2 linked regions of the Callithrix jacchus genome follow. The protein of the gene in region 2 purifies or fractionates together with the protein of the main gene of each other region. This does not show direct contact. Links are inferred from orthologs where the notes say so. Each region holds a gene or a part of one and is shown on either strand. Other genes may lie near its edges. The genes, in order: SRPK2 and CPSF6.

Evidence for each region.
Region 1: the proteins of CPSF6 (region 2) and SRPK2 purify together in Homo sapiens (affinity purification with mass spectrometry; 3 studies listed by BioGRID and IntAct, with this or other methods). This does not show direct contact. The link is inferred for Callithrix jacchus from reciprocal best matches to the Homo sapiens genes CPSF6 and SRPK2.

The regions. Positions count from the first base shown.
Region 1 is NC_133512.1:75,521,940-75,531,673, forward strand, and holds part of SRPK2 (SRSF protein kinase 2), read right to left. Parts: intron 7,761-9,734; coding exon 7,595-7,760; intron 6,438-7,594; coding exon 6,412-6,437; intron 4,444-6,411; coding exon 4,197-4,443; intron 3,638-4,196; coding exon 3,155-3,637; intron 1-3,154. UniProt on the Homo sapiens protein: Serine/arginine-rich protein-specific kinase which specifically phosphorylates its substrates at serine residues located in regions rich in arginine/serine dipeptides, known as RS domains and is involved in the phosphorylation of SR splicing factors and the regulation of splicing.
Region 2 is NC_133510.1:71,755,176-71,764,909, reverse strand, and holds part of CPSF6 (cleavage and polyadenylation specificity factor subunit 6), read right to left. Parts: intron 9,669-9,734; coding exon 9,558-9,668; intron 9,113-9,557; coding exon 8,608-9,112; intron 8,276-8,607; coding exon 8,160-8,275; intron 7,674-8,159; coding exon 7,520-7,673; intron 5,357-7,519; coding exon 5,167-5,356; 3' UTR 5,164-5,166; intron 1-5,163. UniProt on the Homo sapiens protein: Component of the cleavage factor Im (CFIm) complex that functions as an activator of the pre-mRNA 3'-end cleavage and polyadenylation processing required for the maturation of pre-mRNA into functional mRNAs.

The sequences.
Region 1 (9,734 bases), on a different chromosome or scaffold from region 2:
GTCTATGTGGAGGATATCCAATTGTTTATTGTACTGTTCTTTCAGAATAAAAACAAATATACAGATGCTCTAATAATGCCTTCGTGCACCTCACTGGATGGTGCTGGTTATGCATGGATGTACTTTCTCCACTGTTGGGACCACTGCTGCAGAAGTGGGGAGCTGTGGAAACTGTGAGCAGGGGAATGCACTGATTGGATGAGCATACTGCAAAGATATTCCAGTAGCACCATGGAAAGGCAGGCTGAAAAGCAGGTGGGGAGAAAAGCTGGAGACAACACAAAGCCAAGAGACCAGTAAGGAGCCTCTGTAACAGCACAGACAAGCAATAACAGTGCCCACTAAGGGCCAAGGCATGGGGTCCCCTACTTAGGAGGTACAACTGGTAAAATGCGATGATTTACTGGATGTGAGAGAAAAAAAGGAAACATCATGGTCATCAAGTTTCTTACTGGAGCAACAAGAAACAGTGGTAACAAGTATAAGAAATACAGCATGTTTAGCAGGTTGGCAGGGAAAGTTGTATTATGGTTTTTCAATATATTACATGTTATTTATCTACCCTTTCCATTTACCTGTTTTATTTAATTCAGTGCTATTAACAACCCAAGAGTTAGCTATTTCTTTCCTTTGATTGAGGAATAAATCAAGGCTCAGAAAGGACAAGAAACCAAAATTCCACAGTTACTAAGTTTTGAGCTGGGATTTAATCTGGTATGCAGGTGCCTCTCAGTGTCTGCAAGGGGACTGGTTCCAGGAAACCCTGAGAATACCAAAATCCACAGATGCTCAAGCTCTGATATAAAATGGTGTAGTCTTTGCATATAACCTACATACATCTTCCTATATACTTCAGTTGATCTCTAGTTATTTATAGTACCTGCTACAATGTAAATGGTACATAAGTAATTGCTTTAATGTGTTGTTTAGGGAATAATGACAAGGGAGAAAAGTGTGTATATGTTCAAAACAGACACGGGTTTTTTTTCTGCTCCAACTATTTCCCAACTGAGGTTGGCTGAACACACAGATGTGAAATGCACAGATGTAAAACCCATGGATGTGGAAGGCTGACTGTACTTGAAGCCACTCCAGCCCAAGCTAAGACTTGCAAAATAAGTAAGAATAAAAAACGTACTGTGGGCTGATCATGGTGGCTCATGCCTGTAATACCATTAACTTTGGGAGGCTGAGGCACATGGATCACCTAAGGTCAGGCATTCGAGACCAGCCTGGGCAACATGGTGAAGTCCTGTCTCTACTAAAAATACAAAAATTAGTTGGTCATGGTGGCAGGCGCCTGTAATCCCAGCTACTCAGGAAACTGAGGCAGAAGAATTGCTTAAGTCCAGGAGGTGGAGGTTGCAGTGAGCCGAGATTGCATCACTGTACTCCAGCTTGGGCATCAGAGTGGGGGGTGGGGGGTTGGGGGTGGGGAAGGGAGGGAGAAAAGGAAGGAAGAAGGAAAGGAGGGAGGGAAGGAAGGAAGGAGACAGGGAGGTGAGGGGAGAGGATAGGGGAGGGAGGGAAGGGAGAGAGAGAAAGAAAAAGGAAAGAAAAAAGGGAGGGGAGGGGAAAAGGAAAATGAAAGGAGAAAGAAGGAGAGAGGGAGGGAGGGAGGGAAGAAAGGAAAGGAAGGAAGGAGGGAAGGAGGGGCACAGAGAGAAAGAAAAGAAGAAAAGGAAAAGGAAAGGGAAAAGGAAAAAGGAAGGAAGGAAGGGGAAGAGGAAGAGGAAGAGGAAAGGGTAAGGAAAAGGACAGGACAGGATGAAAGAAAACAAAGGAAGGAAAGAAGGAGAAGGAAGGGAGGGAGGGAGGAAAGGAAGTTTGTAAATTACTTTCTATATGAAACTTGTGGCTCACAGCTGTAATCCTAGCATTTTGGGAGGTTGAGATAGGCAGATCGTGAGGTCAGGAGTTCGAGACCTGCCTGGCCAACATGGTGAAACCCTGTCTCCACTAAAAATGCAAAAATTGGCCAGATGTGGTGGCACATGCCTTTAGTCCCAGCTACTCAGGAGGATGAGACAGGAAAATCGCTTGAACCGTGGAGACAGAGGTTGCAGTGAGCCGAGATCCCACCACTGCACTCCAGCCTGGGCGACAGACCAAGACTCTATCTCAAAAAAATAAAAACTTTCACTAAGAGAAAAATTTAACTGCAACAGCAACAATAAATCTGGATAAGGTACATCTCACTACTGCCCTTTCTCAGAAATTAACCTACACTCTATGTAAGCACCTTCAAACACTCCCTATAAAGGGGAATAGGAGCTGACCACGTCCAGCCAAGTGAAGAAAACACATCCTTAGGAGGATTCATCATAGCCAGTTCTTAACAAAGCCAGCTCACTCCTTATCGTGCAATTCCAGCCTGCTGGAACCAAGGGGCTGCAGAATGTCTTGGACTGTTGGCAGGGGTGGCTCATCAATTACTCACTGTGTGTTAAACAGTCTTGACAGTAGAGGGAGCCCAGGAGGTTTCAGAGCTTTCCCACCTTGAGCCAGAATGGAAACCAACTGAGTTACCCAGTTTTCACACACCAGAGTCACTTGGCATTCACTCCCAAAATAAGGGTCTAAATAAGTCAAGGCTTCTTAGGTAGACAAGAACACAAGAGCCAATCTATCATCTGTCATCACATTTAAATCCATGCCAATTCCTTGAAATTCACAATCCTGGGTGGGTTATCAATAACAGGGTCCTATAATCAGGAACAACTATGAAAAGACAATATGACACTTCTTTCCCAACAGAGCCAAAGAGCAGGCATACTTTTCTTGAATAGAAAAACAAAACAAAAACGAAATACAATCATAACAGATGCAAGATACAAATTATACTACACATTCTAGAAAGCTACAGGTGTAAGTTGCTAAAACTGGAAGGTTTCTGCAAATGATGCTGCTGACTGAATATATTAAAAATGACAACTGGTCAGAAATAAGATTTGGTATCAGAGAGCGAGAGATAGCCTAGTGGCACAGAATGTACATTTAAATCACATTACTTGTTCCTGAGTATAAAAGTAATAAAAATGATTAGTGCAAGCATATAGGGGTTGGTCACTTTCAGCCAATTCCTTCATAGCATTTGTTAAAGGCACACCCCGGGAGTCAGTGATGGCAGACAGCTGATGAGAAGAACACTTACCTTTTGGCAAATCCCCAGTACTGGAGGCTGAAACCGTCCTGCTTCTGTCATGGGAAGGACTGCTTTCCTCTTGCTCAGTAAGTGGTGATCCCTCAGAAAGCACAGAACCGCAGGCCACAGGTTCTAAGGATCCAGAGAACAATGAGGTGGAAAACTCTGGAAACTGTGACTCGGGAATTTTATGCCGTCCATTTGGCAATTCACCATTGAATTGTTCATAGGAGCTGCTATATGTGTAATCACTTTCTGCATTTGGCTCATCAAGATTATATTCCTCAGGATTTGGGCAATCTTCTTCATCATCCTCTTCATCGTCCAGTTGCTGCTCCAATAAGAACGGGCCATTCTCAATATGGCCATTGGTTTTAGGTGATTCTATCCACGTAGGGTCTATGTTTGCAAGTTCCTGATCTACATCATCATCATCTTTTTCAATGTTTTCTTTCTCAGTGTCTTCTTTCTCTTCCTGGTCCTCGGCTTCACCTTAAGAAGTTGATGGGTCAAGAATTAGAACTTGTTACTCTCCTTAATACAACCTCACATCTCATCAATAAAATACATTTTGAATGTGCTTAACTTATGCACCTCATAGTAAACACCTCTCAGCTTTTGGAGTAAAACCTTCAAGTTTTCAAAATCTCATTTTTGGTTCATTAATAATTGGCCTGCTCTTATAAGAAAAAGTTAGCTTTGGGAGAAAAAAACTCTTTCTAAATAAAGCTGCACTTCCATTTCCACCCTCTACAATCTTCAGAAATAGATTTGTGGTGTACTACAGTTAGGTAAAAAGTTAATGACAAAATAAAGCACCATCTTTAGCATGATAGAAACATGGTGTTTCTCAGACATTCTACATTTTTAAAAACTATTTTGAAATGTTGTATTTCTGGCATACAGTTCACAAATGAATTATAAGGATGTTTCCCGAATTTCCCAATAGAGACTTGGAGAGAATCATCCTTGCCATCTGAAGCAGCAGCACAAATCAGCCCCCATTGTAACCTGAGGACCCCATGCAGCCCAGGCTCTTGGCCCCACTAACCGTTGTCCTTTGTGGTCTCTGCCTCGGCTGCCTCCTCTAATCCTGTTGTTTTTAGTTTCACCTCTGGGCCATATTCACTATCCTGCTCATTGGAAGGTGCAGCTGAAGTGATGTTTTCTTCTATTATTTTCCTTTCAGCTTCTCGCTCCAATTCTTCTATCTCCTGCAGGCGTTTTTCCAATAACTCAGCCTGCCTCTTCTGTTTCTTTTTCAGTTTTTTCTTTTTGTTTTTAGATATTTTTCCTATCTATAACATGTTAAGAAAAGACCACAGGTCAGTTTTCTTCTTTTTAAAGCACACATGATAGTATAACTGCTGGCAGCATGGCAACTAACAAAAAACTCCGCTTTCTCATGCCATATTCTACTAAAATCCCAAACCCAGACATCCACCTCATGGTAAGGCTTATGGTAAAATCAAAGGGAAAGCAGTGCTGACTGATATCACATGCTAGGTCTACTACCAGGTCCTGCCCTCAGAGGGATACAGCTTAAATCCAGTAAGCCTTCACCATTCAAACTCTCAGAGAACTGAAGTCCAAAATTCTCTTGGCCTTAGAGAAGCTCCTCTTGGAAGTTTTATTTGCTGCCCTCTATATACAAAATAACAACATCCCATCTCCTCACTACCAAAAATGAAACAGGTGCCCAAGCAGGTGTATGTCACTGTGTTTGGGTCTCACATATGTCTTGGAAGCTCTTACCAGCCAAGACAACATGAACTGTAAGAGATAAGCCTAAGCAGCAATGTGAAAGAAGAAAAAGCCACAGCTTTTGTTTGCCTCCCATCATGGCCAGCTGACTTGCAAAGCACTGGCAAGGAGAGCCTCCAATCCTTCATACAGTAAACTCAGGTGGCTTGAGCCAGGGAAGAACTATGGGAAACAACTTGGGCTCCTCAGCAAGCCAGGAAGCCTAATTATTACAGCTCCCTCTTGTTCCAGAACTTACGTTCCAAATCAAGGGTTGTCTCAGTAAACATAGTGTTTTCTTGTTATTTTGTTTTTTGTTGTTGTTTTCTTTTTCTTTGAGATGGGGTCTTGTTCGGTTGCATAGGCTGGAGTGCACTGGCGTGACTTTGGCTCACTGCTACCTCCATTTCCTGGGTTCAAGTGTTTCTCATGCCTCAGCCTCCCATGTAGCTGGGAGTACAGGTACATGCCATCATGCCCGGCTGATTTTTTTTTTTGAGACAGAGTCTCACTCAGTCACCCAGGATGGAGTCCAATGGCCTAATCTCAGCTCATTGCAACCTCCCCCTCCTGGGCTCAACAGATTCTCCTGCCTCACCCTCCTGAGTAGCTGAGATTACAGGCATCCGCCAGCACACTCGGCTAGTTTTTGCATTTTTTGGTAGAGACAGGGTTTCACCATGTTAGCCAGGGTGGTCTCGAAGTCCTGACCTCAAGAGATCTGCTGGCCTCAGCCTCCCAAAATGTTGGAATTACAGGTGTCAGCCACCACACCTGGTACCTAGTACTGACATAGTGTTTTGACAGGACTACAAACTATCTCTTTCTTATTTAACATCTGGCTGGAAAAAAATTAGAACAACAGCTTCGGAAAAGGTAACTTAGCAGCCAATCAGAAATAATATAAAGTGGTTTTGAAATAAAAGTGCTTCAACTCCACCACCTCACATTTCATTAGACTTGGCCAACCGTAGTCCAGAAAATGCATAAAGAAGACAATCATTGAAAGGCTCTAACCATTCCAATTCTGCAGAGATCCCTAAAACTTAACGAGACAGGCCAGGTGTGATGGCTCATGCATGTAATCTCAGAACTTTGAGAAGCCAAGATGGGAAGATCACTTGAGGTCAGGAATTCGAGACCAGCCTGACCAACATGGTGAAACTCCATCTCTACTAAAAGTACAAAAATTAGCTGAGCATGGTGGTGGGTGCCTGTAATCCCAGCTACTCGGAAGGCTGAGGCAGGAGAATCGTTTGAACCTGGGAGGGGGAGGCTGCAGTGAGCCAAGATCGCAACACTGCATGCCAGCCTGAGCAGTAATGCAAGACTCAGTCACATACACACACAAAATCCAAAAAACACTTAACAAGACAGTAAGTCTTAAATATTTGAGGATACACAGCATTTATAAATGTGTCTACCCTTTAAATTAATATATACTACCACTTTTTAATAATTTGAACTGCTCAAACAGTTTCTTTTGCCATGGTGCATAAAAGTAATATGCGTTAAGTACTTACAGGTTTCTGCTGTGGAGCCGTACTCACTAAAATAAAATGAAACAAAATTGGTATTTAGCAGAAAACAGACACATACCTTCATGCAGGTCATTTGGATTGCAAAATGACATAATTATTATCTTTTAATGACTATCCAACTTCACAAACATATTAATCAGAGCTTCGTAATCACTGGGATCTAGAGAAAGTTTATGCAACTGAAACAAACAACGGACTCTTAAAATGCATAGCAGAAAAGTTGTTCATACTGAGCCATTTCTTTTATTTATCTAAAATGAAATACTAATACATCTCAAAAACAGTCAATCCCAAAGCACCAACAGATAGCTTAAGAAAATGGAAAATAATTCATACATATCACAGTCATTAAACCAAATTTGTTATAAATAAAATGAAATAAACAATTTAGATTAGATGTACATTTATATTTGAAATCTATTTTGCAAGCTTTCTACAATTTAAATCAAATACTGCAGTTGGTATGCAGCTAATATTCTAGAAATCACATGATTAAACCCTATCAGGGCCATAAGTTTGACAGTCTGGGTCCATGATCTAAACAACACCTGCAGTAGAGGAGATGTGAAGAGAGCCCCAGGCAGTCTCCAGAGTCTCAGCCCTTTACTATCTATGCTTGCCTGACAACACAAGGGCACAGACAATGTTGAAGATCCACAAAAGCACAGTCCACATTTCACTGCACCCCCACCAGAAATAAAGATATGCCAATACTCAGGTCACTTGGTCTTCTTCCCCCACCATCAGGCCTTTTCTAACTAACTCCAAATCCACTGATAAAACTCAGATTGACGTAGCTATGACAAATGGACAATAGGAATTACTGTAACATAACTGAAGCTAGAAAAATATTCTGATGACTAAAAGTCAGCTCCAGGAAAGCTGTTATTATGTTCTCCTCTGCAGAGAAGTGGGCAACAGAAAAAACTGTTCCAATATTAATGAAGCAGCAACTACAAATTTAAATGGCAAGTAATTCAAATATTAAAATATAATGTACCTGGGGCATTTTCCATCTCAAGAAAAGGGTGTAGTTATTTCCAGAAATTAAACTTTGCCAAAAATGTCCTTACATGTAACATTTGATTGAGAAACCTTCAACATACAACATTGCAAGCTTACAATACCTCAGACAGACTGAAATGAAGCTGGCTCAGTCCCTCACCTGCAGACCCTGAAGGAGGAGGAGCACCTGCTTTCTGCCACTCAGTGGCCTCAGCTGCCATTCTTCTCACATATGCATCATCCACACACATCAAGATGTTTTCTGGCTTTATGTCAGTATGAATGATTTTGCACTTACTGTGCAGATAATCTAATCCTTGAAGGACCTGGACATAGTAAAATTAAGAGAGAAGATAAGCTATTAATACCTCTTTATATAAGTTTTATTTATTTGAAAAGCATAAAATACAATGACAGGCTACCAAGTTTGATAAACACAAAAGGATATTTAGTAAAAATCTCCCTCCCATTCCTAACCTCATTGGAATCCAGCTCTCCTTCCCATAAGAAACCAGTGTATATCATTTCAGAGATTATGCTTGTGGAAGCAAATGCATCTATATACAGTTGAACCTTGAAGGTTTGAACTGCATGGGTCCACTTATACACAGATGTTCTTCCACCTCTGCACTCCTGAGACAGCAAGACCAACCCCTCAGCCTACTCAACATGAGGATGATGAGGATGAAGACCTTTATGATGATCGACTTCCACTTAATGAATAAATGGTAAACATACTTTCTTTTCTTTTCTCTAGCTTACTCTATTGTAACAATATGCTATATAACACACATACAAAATACATGTTAAACAACTGTTAATGTCATCAGGAAAGGCTTCTGATCAACAGCAGAATATTAGTAGTTAAGCTTTGGTCAAGTCAAAAGTCAGACATGGATTTTCAACTTCATTGGAAGGGGCTGGTCAGTGCCTCTAACCCTTGTGCTATTCAAGCCTCAGCTGTGTATTTTTGTTCAGTAACAACTATACTCATGTGTCATATAACCCCTTTAGGTATACAATTTAACAGATTTCAAATGTGCAACTATCACCACTATTTAAATGACATCATTTTCATTGCTCCTAAAAGAAACAACATATTCATTAGCATTCACTCCCCATCTCTCTCGTACCTCCTCTAACCCTTAGCAACCACTAATCTACTTGGTGATTCTAGACATTTCCTATAAATGGAATCATATAAAGTGTTTTTTTGTAACTGGCATAATGTTTTCAAGCCTGACTCTTGTGCAGCATGCATCAGTACTTCGCCTGGTTTTACTGCCAAATCATATTCCACTGTATGGAGACATAACATTTGTTTATCCATTTACTTCATAAACATTCACGTTATTTTCACTTTAGGGGCTATAAAACTAATAATGCAATGCACACTCATGTATATACATTTTTGTGTGAACATACTTTTTTTTTGGAGACACAATCTCCATCGCCAGGCTGGAGTGCAGTGGTGCGATCTCTGCTCACTGCAACCTCCGTCTCCCAGGTTCAAGCAATTCTCCTGCCTCAGCCTCGCGAGTAGCTGGGACTACAGGTATGTGCCACCACGCCCAGCTAATTTTTGTATTTTTAGTAGAGACGGGTATCACCATGGCCAGGATGGTCTCGATCTCTTGACCTCATGATCCGCCTTCCTCGGCCTCCCAAAGTGCTGAGATTACAGGCGTGAGCCACTGTGCCCAGCAAACATACTTTTTTTGGGGGGAGGCATATACACCTAGGAGTTACCATACTTAGGTCATATGGCACCTCTATATTTAGCTTTTTGATCACCTGCCGAAGTGTTTTCCACAGTAGCTACACCATTTCACATTCCTATCAGCAATGTATGAGGGTTCCAATTCATCATCCTAAACAACACCATCGGCTGGGTGTGGTGGCTCACGCCTGTAATCCAAGCACTTTGGAGGCCAAGGCGGGCAGATCACCTGAGGGAGGGAGATCAAAACCAGCCTGACCAACATGGTGAAACCACATCTTAAAAAAAAAACACAACACCATATCTTTTTTACTTTAGCTACCCAAGTGGATATGGAGTATCTTGTAGTTTTGATCTTTATTTCCCCCAAGGCTAATGATGTCCATACATTTTTAAAATTGCAAAAAAAGGGGGGCTTAATTTAAATAGAAAGAAAAGGCTTTGGTATCTAGACAACACTATAGCATTATACTAAAAGACAATGATGAACCAAGATATTCATATTTGTCACATTAAGAGTGTCAGTGACCTAAATACACAGTCCATGTTTTACTGTAATTATTTCCACTGGAGAAGAATG
Region 2 (9,734 bases):
GCACCACCACATCCAGCTAATTTTTTGCATTTTGAAACCCTGTAGAGACAGGGTTTCACCATATTGGCCAGAGTCGTCTTGAACTTCTGACCTCAGGTGATCTGCCCATCTTGGCCTCCCAAAGTGCTGGGATTACAGGCATGAGCCACCGTGCCCCGTTATACTGTTTTTAGATAGAGAATCCTGTTGCAACACAGATATTTTTCCAGGACTAATGAACTCATCTTTTGTCTAATTATACTTTATAGATGAATCTTTACTACTAGTAAGTCTAATTTTTATCATACATACATAAAATATGGGGGATAGTCTAGCAGTTTTTATTTCTATTTCTAAACACTTTACATTTATGCACTTGAAAATACAGATTTTACAGTTTTAAACGGAAGTGAATTTGAAGGCAATACAACCCATTTCCAATAATCCAATTCCACATTATACTCTCTCAAATGTCTAAGCAGACAACTACACCAACAAAGATATCAAAAAGAAGCTTCAAAGTGACAAATACATTCAATGACCATGTTTTCAATGTATCATTTGGTAAAATCAGTAATGTCAAAGCCACACAATTACTTGCTTTAGCTATCAATTATAAAAGACCTATGTAAACAGTTAATAAAATAACTAAGAAGATAAATGGAATGTACAGTTTTTAAAATAGTCTGTAAACTAAAGTGAGCACTAAGTAAAATCTCAAAACACAGAGAAGTACCTGAATTTTAAGATAATATATCAAGCCATTATTAACTCAAATTATAATTGTTTCTGTTAGAAACTTATCTACACACATTTGTTAGAATTAGTATTTTTAATTCATGTGTAAATGCATCCTTTAAGATTCAAATATATACTTGATAGGGCACTTTTATAGGTTTTCACATTAATATATTGAATTAAAAGGATTCTCATATAATTTTAGAGATGCACTATTAACTCAATGAAATAAAATTCACTTTTCTCTATCTGGTAATTCCTTCCTTAATGAGAGGAATGGAAATGAGGTGGGCAAGAGAAACAATTATCTACATACAAGATAGCTCTAAAATCAAAATTCCTTCTTGCATTGACTAGAACATATTACATAAAAACAATTCTAGTTGTTGTAGATATTTACAAGAAGTTCCTTGCTACCAAAATATTTCATATTTTCATCTTTCTACCTCTGAACATAGTACTTACCTCATTTTAACTAAAGCATTTTATTACTCTATCAACACATAAATAATTGTTGCTCTTACAACCCACTAAAATAGAAATAAACATAATCACAGTCAAAGAAAAAAAAGATTTACAAAATGAACATCTCAAAATAACCTGTTATTTATAATTCATGAAAAGTTAAAACATGCTACCACAAAAGAAAAATTCATAAATTTGGATAGCATAAATGGCACCCTTACCCCTTTCTGGTTATTAGGTTTCTCTAAACAGCGTTAACTAAATATTCATCCAAGACAGAATTTATTCAAAACAATCTATTTTACAAACTAAAACAATGGTAGTAAATTGAACACTGAGATGAAGGTGAGAGAGCAAGGTGACTCACACTGGCATTGAGGTTTTTTTTTTTAAACAGGGAACATTAATCATTTGAAAACAAAACTATATTCTTAAACCACAGTGAGCAAAACACACTATACATCCATTCAAGGGATCACGTCCTACTTCCTCTTGTAACATGAATTAAGTCAGCTGTGCAGTGAGACAGATTTTGTAAATACTCAAAGCAAGGAAAATCAGAGCTAAAGCAATGAAAGCTAGCATATCCAGATGAAGCAGAGCAGTTAGAATACAGGGCTGAGAGGTATAAGGCAGACCTCACATAACCTAAGAGTTGTAGAAACAATTTTAAAATCTTATTACAACCAGTATAATTCACCAGGTAATTAAGATAATTTAATTCTCACATAAGACTCAAAGCAACAATAACAAGAAAATGAAACATCTTTAACATGTAAGAAAGAATTTTCCTTTACTCTTTTGGCTTTTTTTTTTCTCAAATTAACACAGTAAGTTAAATACACAATGCAAAGCGTCCTAAATCTCGTGAAATAACAAAATCTAACATCTTATGGTCAAGATATTTAAGGTAGGAAAAAGGTTGTAAGACAGCAAAGGCAAGTTATTGAATCCAGACCCCATACCAAATGCTTAAAAATTGTGTCAAAGTCATGGATAATGATTTGAGAATTGTAAAACCTCATAAAATAGGGAGAGGAAAAGCCTAAATAAAGAGTATTTTAAAAAAATAATTTGGTTTCAGTAAACAAAGAAAAGGTAAATTGTTAAAACCAATTTGCTGAGTAGGGATATTCCAAAGAAGTAACAAGAGGAATGCAACCTTTTAAGCAGCTCAACTATGAAACTAGAATTATTTCAGTAAGAAACGTACTATCTTAAAGCACTGAACTACTTTTATTTTGCTCAGAGTGGTCTGAGAATAGAGGCAGAAATTACAGAATATGAAGCACAATGTATTTACATACTGAAAATTTACAATACTGGTATTTTCTCATTGAAATATTATGTATTTGAACTTAGATACTGAATACTTTTAGAAAAACCAATACATTTTAAAATGAGAGAATGCAATTAACGTTACCAACAGTTCAAACACAAAAAAAATTAAGATGGGACAGACATTAACAGCTTGCCAAGATCATTAAGTTTCCAGTTTAATTAAGGACTTGCCCTTTTATCCATTCATCATCACTTTAATAGATTACATTAGTATTTTATTTGTATACAGCCTTACTACTGACATTCACTTTAGCTTTCAACTCACTCATTCCATTTAGTCCATTTAAGATTTACATGAAAGCTCAAAAGGACTCATATTTTAAAACTTCTAAAAAGGTCAACAGACTTTATTATGTTGGTGATCAAATTTGCAGATAGCTTTTGTTTTAAAAAGAGTTTTACTTGAATATATTTAATCCCATTCCCCACCCCTTTACTCTTGTCTACATCCACAATAAATACTGTTTGATACAGCAAACGTACAATAATCCAGGATAACAAAATTTTTTGCACTAGAAATGCTTATGTAAAATTTTGCTTGGATGAAGGCACATACAGTATTACAACTCAATTCTGATTAATGTACAAACAAAACATGGAAATTCTGGTATGGTACATCAGTGATTAAGAAAAATGTCAACAATAGTTTGCACATTAGGAATCTGCAGTTAATGTCTGAATGTAATGAAACTCAAGCCATGATGTTACTTAGGTGTACCCATTACTAGAATGTAATGTTAGGTAACTCAAATACTTTAACAATAGACTTTTCAGAACATTTACTTGTTGACTATGCTAGTTTCACTAAAACCAGTAAGAAAACTGTAATTAGTTAACTTTGGGTTTAAATCGGCTTAGAGAACCCCTGATGGACACATCCAATTTCGGAGATGAATTCAAGTTTCATTATCATGCCTTTACTAACTAGAAGCTTGTTGATAACTTACAAAGTCTAAAAAAATAGGTAACTTATAGAATCTGTATCTTTCTATAATGGAAATGGCTGACATAGATAAGCATTTCAACTAATAGCCCAGTCACAATCCACCTTAAGCAACTGATGGATATTGAAATTTTTTTCATTAAAATGGGATCAGATATATTTAACTCAAGGGAAGAGATTGCTACATCTTTAAATTTTAATGTTTAGATTTACATAATACAATAGTCAATTTTTACATCCAAAAACAATATCAATTTTAATAATCTTAATTTTAAAAGTATAATTTTTTTGCCTCATTAAAAGAATGTTTTGAGATTTGTATTTTGCAATACATGGAAAACTATATAAAAATTAAAGTTTTGATATTCGATCTGCATATTCAAAATGCAAAGAAAAGTATCAAAACCAGCCTTTTAACTTAAAAAGTCCTTAAAATTGTAAACTTAAGAGCTTATTTGTGCTCCACAAAAACAGCATGCTTATTTTCTAGGCATTTAAGGGTCTCATTTGCTAAAATGTTATCTGTTATGGTTAAAGAAATTGCTATTCTGTCATGGAATTACATACACTTGATAAAGCCTTTAATTTTGCCCATAACATTTTAAATACTGACAATTACCATGACTGAATTTTCAGTAAGTTTCCCATGATTACTGAAAATAATCACATAAAGAGTAATCTACATGTGAGGGGTTTGTTTTAGCCTTATTTAATTTGAATATGCCAACCAATATATAAAGAAAAAATATTTTAATTTACAGAATAACCTTTGTGTCACATGCATAAGCCTTATAGTGCCCTCCCCCAGCTCTTCACATGAATAAATGCTGTTAACAAATATAAAAAATAAAATTACATGTGAAAATGAAGCATAAACAGACAACTCTTCCCACTTATGAAAAATGTACACAAGAAATAGTTTTAAAATACAGAAAAAAAGACAATGATTATGATTTATGAATGAAACATCAAAGAAAATTATTTCAAGTTATTCTAAACTTGGGTATATGGCTTAACACAATTTAAATTTTTTAGATATGGTACACCCTGAACCCATTTTAACTGAATAACTTTTATATCTTCTTTGCAAATTAAAGGATACTGTTTCTTTTAAAAACAAAAACCAGATGTCAGGAAAACAATGTCTCTTCTAAAAAAAAATTTTTTTTTTTTTTTTTTTAAGGAAAAAGGCTCTTTGAATGTTGAGAAAACACCCTCCTATATTACAAACTATGATTGTGTTAGATTTTCTCATAAATTTTTAGGGACAAATAAAACTAGTTCAAGAATAGCCACATTCCATTTATTTTTAAAAATCCAAACATATATATGAAATAACTCCCTGTATTTTATATTTTAAATTACACACAAACTAAGTATGTGATTACAAGAATCCCAATTTTTAGATTTTAGAAGTACGCAATGAGTCCTCTTGATTATTTCCTTGCTTTGTTAAGACCATTAATTATTTGAAACCTAAAAGTGATTAACTCAGCAATAAAATACTTAAAGATAAAGGGTCAAAATTTTTACCTGTCATTACTTACCTGTTATTTGTTTCAGATGTTTCAAGATTAAATTCACAAGTAGTTGGACCATTTAAAATGTAGGTATATACTGTATAAATAGTAGCCTTGGAGTTATAGTTACTGTTAAGAATACACACGCTAAATATAACAGGAACAAGGAATACCCACCTTCTAACGATGACGATACTCGCGCTCTCGGTCACGCTCTCGGTCACGGTCTCGGTCCCGATCCCTGTGCCTCTCTCGTTCTCTGCTTCTCTCTCTATAATAATCATCATGACGGTCTCTACTACGGGATTTATGGCGCCGACTCTTTTCTCGTGATCTACTATGGTCCCTCTCTCTTGATCGTTCACGTCTTCTAAAAGAAATTACTGGATTAATGCTCTCCATAATTAGTTTAAAAATAGTCAATTTTTTGGTGTCTAAAAAAATCTAACGTGGCAAAAGATTCTTTGTAAATCTGGTTTAAATTTACTATCTGGAACTGCCAATAATGACTTACCAACTCACCAGTAAGCACGAATCAGAAATTTCATTATTAAAAAACACTACCAAAAAAAAAACAGTAAGCAGACACATCACAGAAATGCATCACATCATCAATTTAAACTAGCAGCATAAATAGACATGGAGTATTTACTGAATAAACAAACAGAAAAGGGAAAAGTTCAAAGCACTTGTGTTTTAAGCTAAAGAACATCTACAGTATGTTTTCAGATATAAAATTCATAAAATCACAACACACAATGGGACTTAAATACATGAAAATGACAGCCTATTAACATGTTATTTAACATATGTTAAAATACTAATCTTACATTTCTACCTAACCAAAATATAGTTCATGAGAAGCAGCACCCAACACTAAGAAACTTTCTAATACACACATTATGTTCAGGGGAGAAGAGGCATGGGAGAAGGCTAACGATTATGACTAGTAGCATGAATCGATATAGTATTCACACTGTATTTAATAAAAAGAAACATTTCATGAACTGCCATTTTTTAAAAACAAATAATTAAACCAAAGTTTACTGCCTTAAAGACCTCTACAAATTCTGCTAAATTTATAGTAAGGAAATAATAACTATCTATTAAACAAGAATATTTATGCCTTGTATTTCTGCACCAGACAGCTAAGCTTAACAAACATTAAGTGCTAAGCTCCTTGATCAAGGCGTAAGTTGTTACTTCTTTTTCAAGAGAGGGTCTCTGTCATCCAGACTGGAGTGCAGGGACATGATTACAGTTCATTGCATCCTCGACCTCTGGGGCTTAAGCAATCTGCCTACCACAGCCTCCCAAGTAGGCAGGACTATAGGCATGCAGCACCAGGCCCAGCTAATTAAAAAAATTTTTTATAGAGATGAAGTCTCCCCATGTTGCCAAGGCTAGTCTCAAAATCCTGGGGCTCTAGTAAACTTCTTGCTTTGGCCTCCGAAAGTGATGGAATTCAAAAGTTATTACGTTGGACCTTAAAGCCTAAAAAGATGATACCAAATACCTGTATCTATGACAAATCTGTTCAGATACCAAGATTCTTACACTGGGTCAAAAAGGTAATAATCACAAAATTAGGGACCATGTGAAAGGCAAGCTCCTTTCTCTTAAAGAAGACTACCACTAGGTAGAGTACACTAAAAACACATCTAAGAATACCAAGTGAAGATTAAAGGACTGCCTTTCAAAAATATATAAAATTTCAAAGTTAGCAGCAATGCTAAAAACAAAACCAACACTACCTAAAAGATAGATCATTCATTCATTCAGTCCCTCATTCAAGAAATTTTTATTTGGCACTCATTCTGTACCAGACACTCTGTCGGCAACAGAAATAATATAGTGAGAATGGCTGAGCACAGTAGCTTATGTCTATAATCCCAGCACTTTGGGAGGCCAAGCTGGTAACTTAGCAAGACCTCATCTCTTAAAAGAAAAGAAATACGGTGAGCAGCATAAAGCCCCTGTCATCACTCAACATGTGTTCTAATGAGAAATATGCCTTTATAACACCTAAGAATTGGTTATGGTAAGTACTATGGAAGAAATAAAAAGAACAATAAGACAGACTAACTTGGGAGAAGCCCCCTTAAGAAGTTAGATTGAGATGAGAAGAATAAGGAGCCAGCTATGTGAAGAGACAGGGAAAACTGCTCCTAGCAGAAGGAATATAAAGTAAGGTGGTCAAATGTTTGATCTATCTAGAGAAAAAGGAGAAATATGGCTGGAGAACAGTGAGTAAGGGAAAAGGTACAAAATGAGGCTAAAAAGATAGGCAGGGGCTTTATTACACAGTGCCTCGATCTTTACAATCTTGCTTTAAGACTGAGTAGAAGCCTTTGAAGGGTTTTAAGCAAGCAACTAACATTTAGAGTTTACAAACAACAACAAAAGAAACTCCAGCTGCTAAATAATCAGTAAGTAAAAGCAAAGTCCTCTTTCTAATATCTCAAACACAGTATTTTTTCCACTTGTAAACTAATAGTTTTCTTTAAATAGAAATGAGACAGGAAAGTTTTACCTTGATCCAGAACCGTAAGACTTGGACTCAATTCCATGAAGGCAATCTTGCAAAGAACTAATAAGAACTTTGCAACGATCATCTGCAGATACTTTGGATTGCTTAATTAAAGAAATTGCAGTTACCAATGTCTCAATAGCACTTCCATAATCACCTGTGGGGGAAAGAAAAAGAGTTTGAAATTAAACAAATTTTGTTTTCAAAATACCATCAAACCACTTGGGGTAAGAGTGGTAACGCATTTTACAAAAGTAGTGTGCTATAAAATAACTATACAAGATAAATGTCTTCTTTTAGTATTTCACCATTTACAAAAGCCTTTCATTCTCATATTAACTTATTACAGGTGTGTGAAGCATGTTATCATTTTGCAAATATAAGAATAGGTGTCCTAGTCCCCTGAACCATCTAATGTCAAGGGTAAGACTTAAATCTATACCAAATAACTTAAATTTGGATTTTCCCCACTACACTGTGACACAGCTTTTTTTCAATGCTTTTTAAATAAATGACAGTTAATGATTTGGGAATACAAAAAGAACTACTACATGTAAATGACCTATCTTCTAGACTGCACTTACATTTTTAGGTCATTTCTAATAACATAAACAAGAAACATTAATACAAGAAATATACAAACCAGCACTGGCATCAGACACAGCTCTCGAAATAGCACTACTTGAGATTGCCCTGTTTCTATTCATGATTTCTTCAAACTCAGCTTCACTCAATGGCGTTCTCGCAGTATCCATTTCCCTGTAAAGTAAAAACATAAACCTTAACTCAAACTCTAAGTCAGTCACAACAGTGTAAAGCAATTCACACTAGCTGCTTCTGACATGTGCCTTAGAGAGAGTGGTTACTTTTCCAGATTGAAGCATGCTACATTTCCTATAAAGAGAACATGTCTAAACACAATTCTCCTATACAAGTATCTTTCAGCTATAAGAGTAGCAGCTTAGATCCCTCAACTTCTTGGAAGGCAGAAATAACATTTTTATACATCTATAATCTAATATTTATTTTCACAGTTATTATTCCTATCTTTATCTTTTATCAAGTACTTTTACAGACACACACTAACTTACCTTCCAGGGGGGCCATAGTCACCCCTATCATATGGTGGAGGTCGGCCATATGGGTCTGTTGGTGGTGGACCTCGGCTATCTGATGTAGGCATGCCACTGTTAGTTGGTGGAGGAAAGAAAGCTGGGTTCACATGCGGAGCTGGCGGTGGGGCACCTGGAGGTGGTCCAGGAAGATGCGGAGGAGGAGCTAGTGTAAGGGGTGGCCCAAGCGGACCAGGTGGACGAGGTGGAAAGGGGCCTGGAGGTGGAGGTGGTCCCTGTTGTGGAGGTGGTGGGCCAGGAGGGGGGCCGTAGCCTGGAACTGGAGGTGGAGGGCCAGGAGGAAGCGGACCCAATGGAGGCTGCCCAAAAGGCTGTCCAGGAAAAAGAACTGGTGGTGGAGGGCGATCTCCTCGATTAGGAGGCCCAGCTAGAGGAGGAGGCAGAACCTGACCAGGAGGTGGAGGACCTGGTGGACCAGGTGGGCCTGGAGGACCTAAGGGTGGACGTGGTGGAGTCTGTCCAGCTAAAGAACAAAGGGGAGAGAGAGAGAAAAAAACACTTCACTAATAAGATATTTTAACTTTCATATGCCAAGATTATACTTTAAAAGCATAATGCATATACCAAGGCTTTGTCTTTAAATAAAACTCATATATGACAAATGTTACGTTATCAACTACAATGATGAAGTATATCCTTTCATATTTAACTAGCTCAATTTATGTTTACGAAAATTTATTCAAACAAAAATTTTAAAAAAGATTACAGCACCTAGAGATATTTTCCATCTTTTAGCGTACACACACTTCTTACAGTGAAATCACCCACCTTATATTCTACTCTGATGCAAAGCTAGAAAGTGAAACAAGGAAAAATGATCTTGAAAGGATTTTTTTAAGAGGTAAGAAAATAAGACGGATGTAAATATTCTATATATAAGTCAAGCAAGTTTGGAGAAAAATAAAGACCTTTTAGGCCAAAAATGGGTATTTCCTCTATGCTGTGCCCCATATGCCATGGAATCCTAGTTTCCAGGAACAAAGGCCGAGTTCCTTTAACAAGATGCTTGATCAAATTTCCTGGATTCCAAAAATAGCATAACAAGGAGAGTAAGTCACATTAATAATGCATTACTTGAAAAAGAG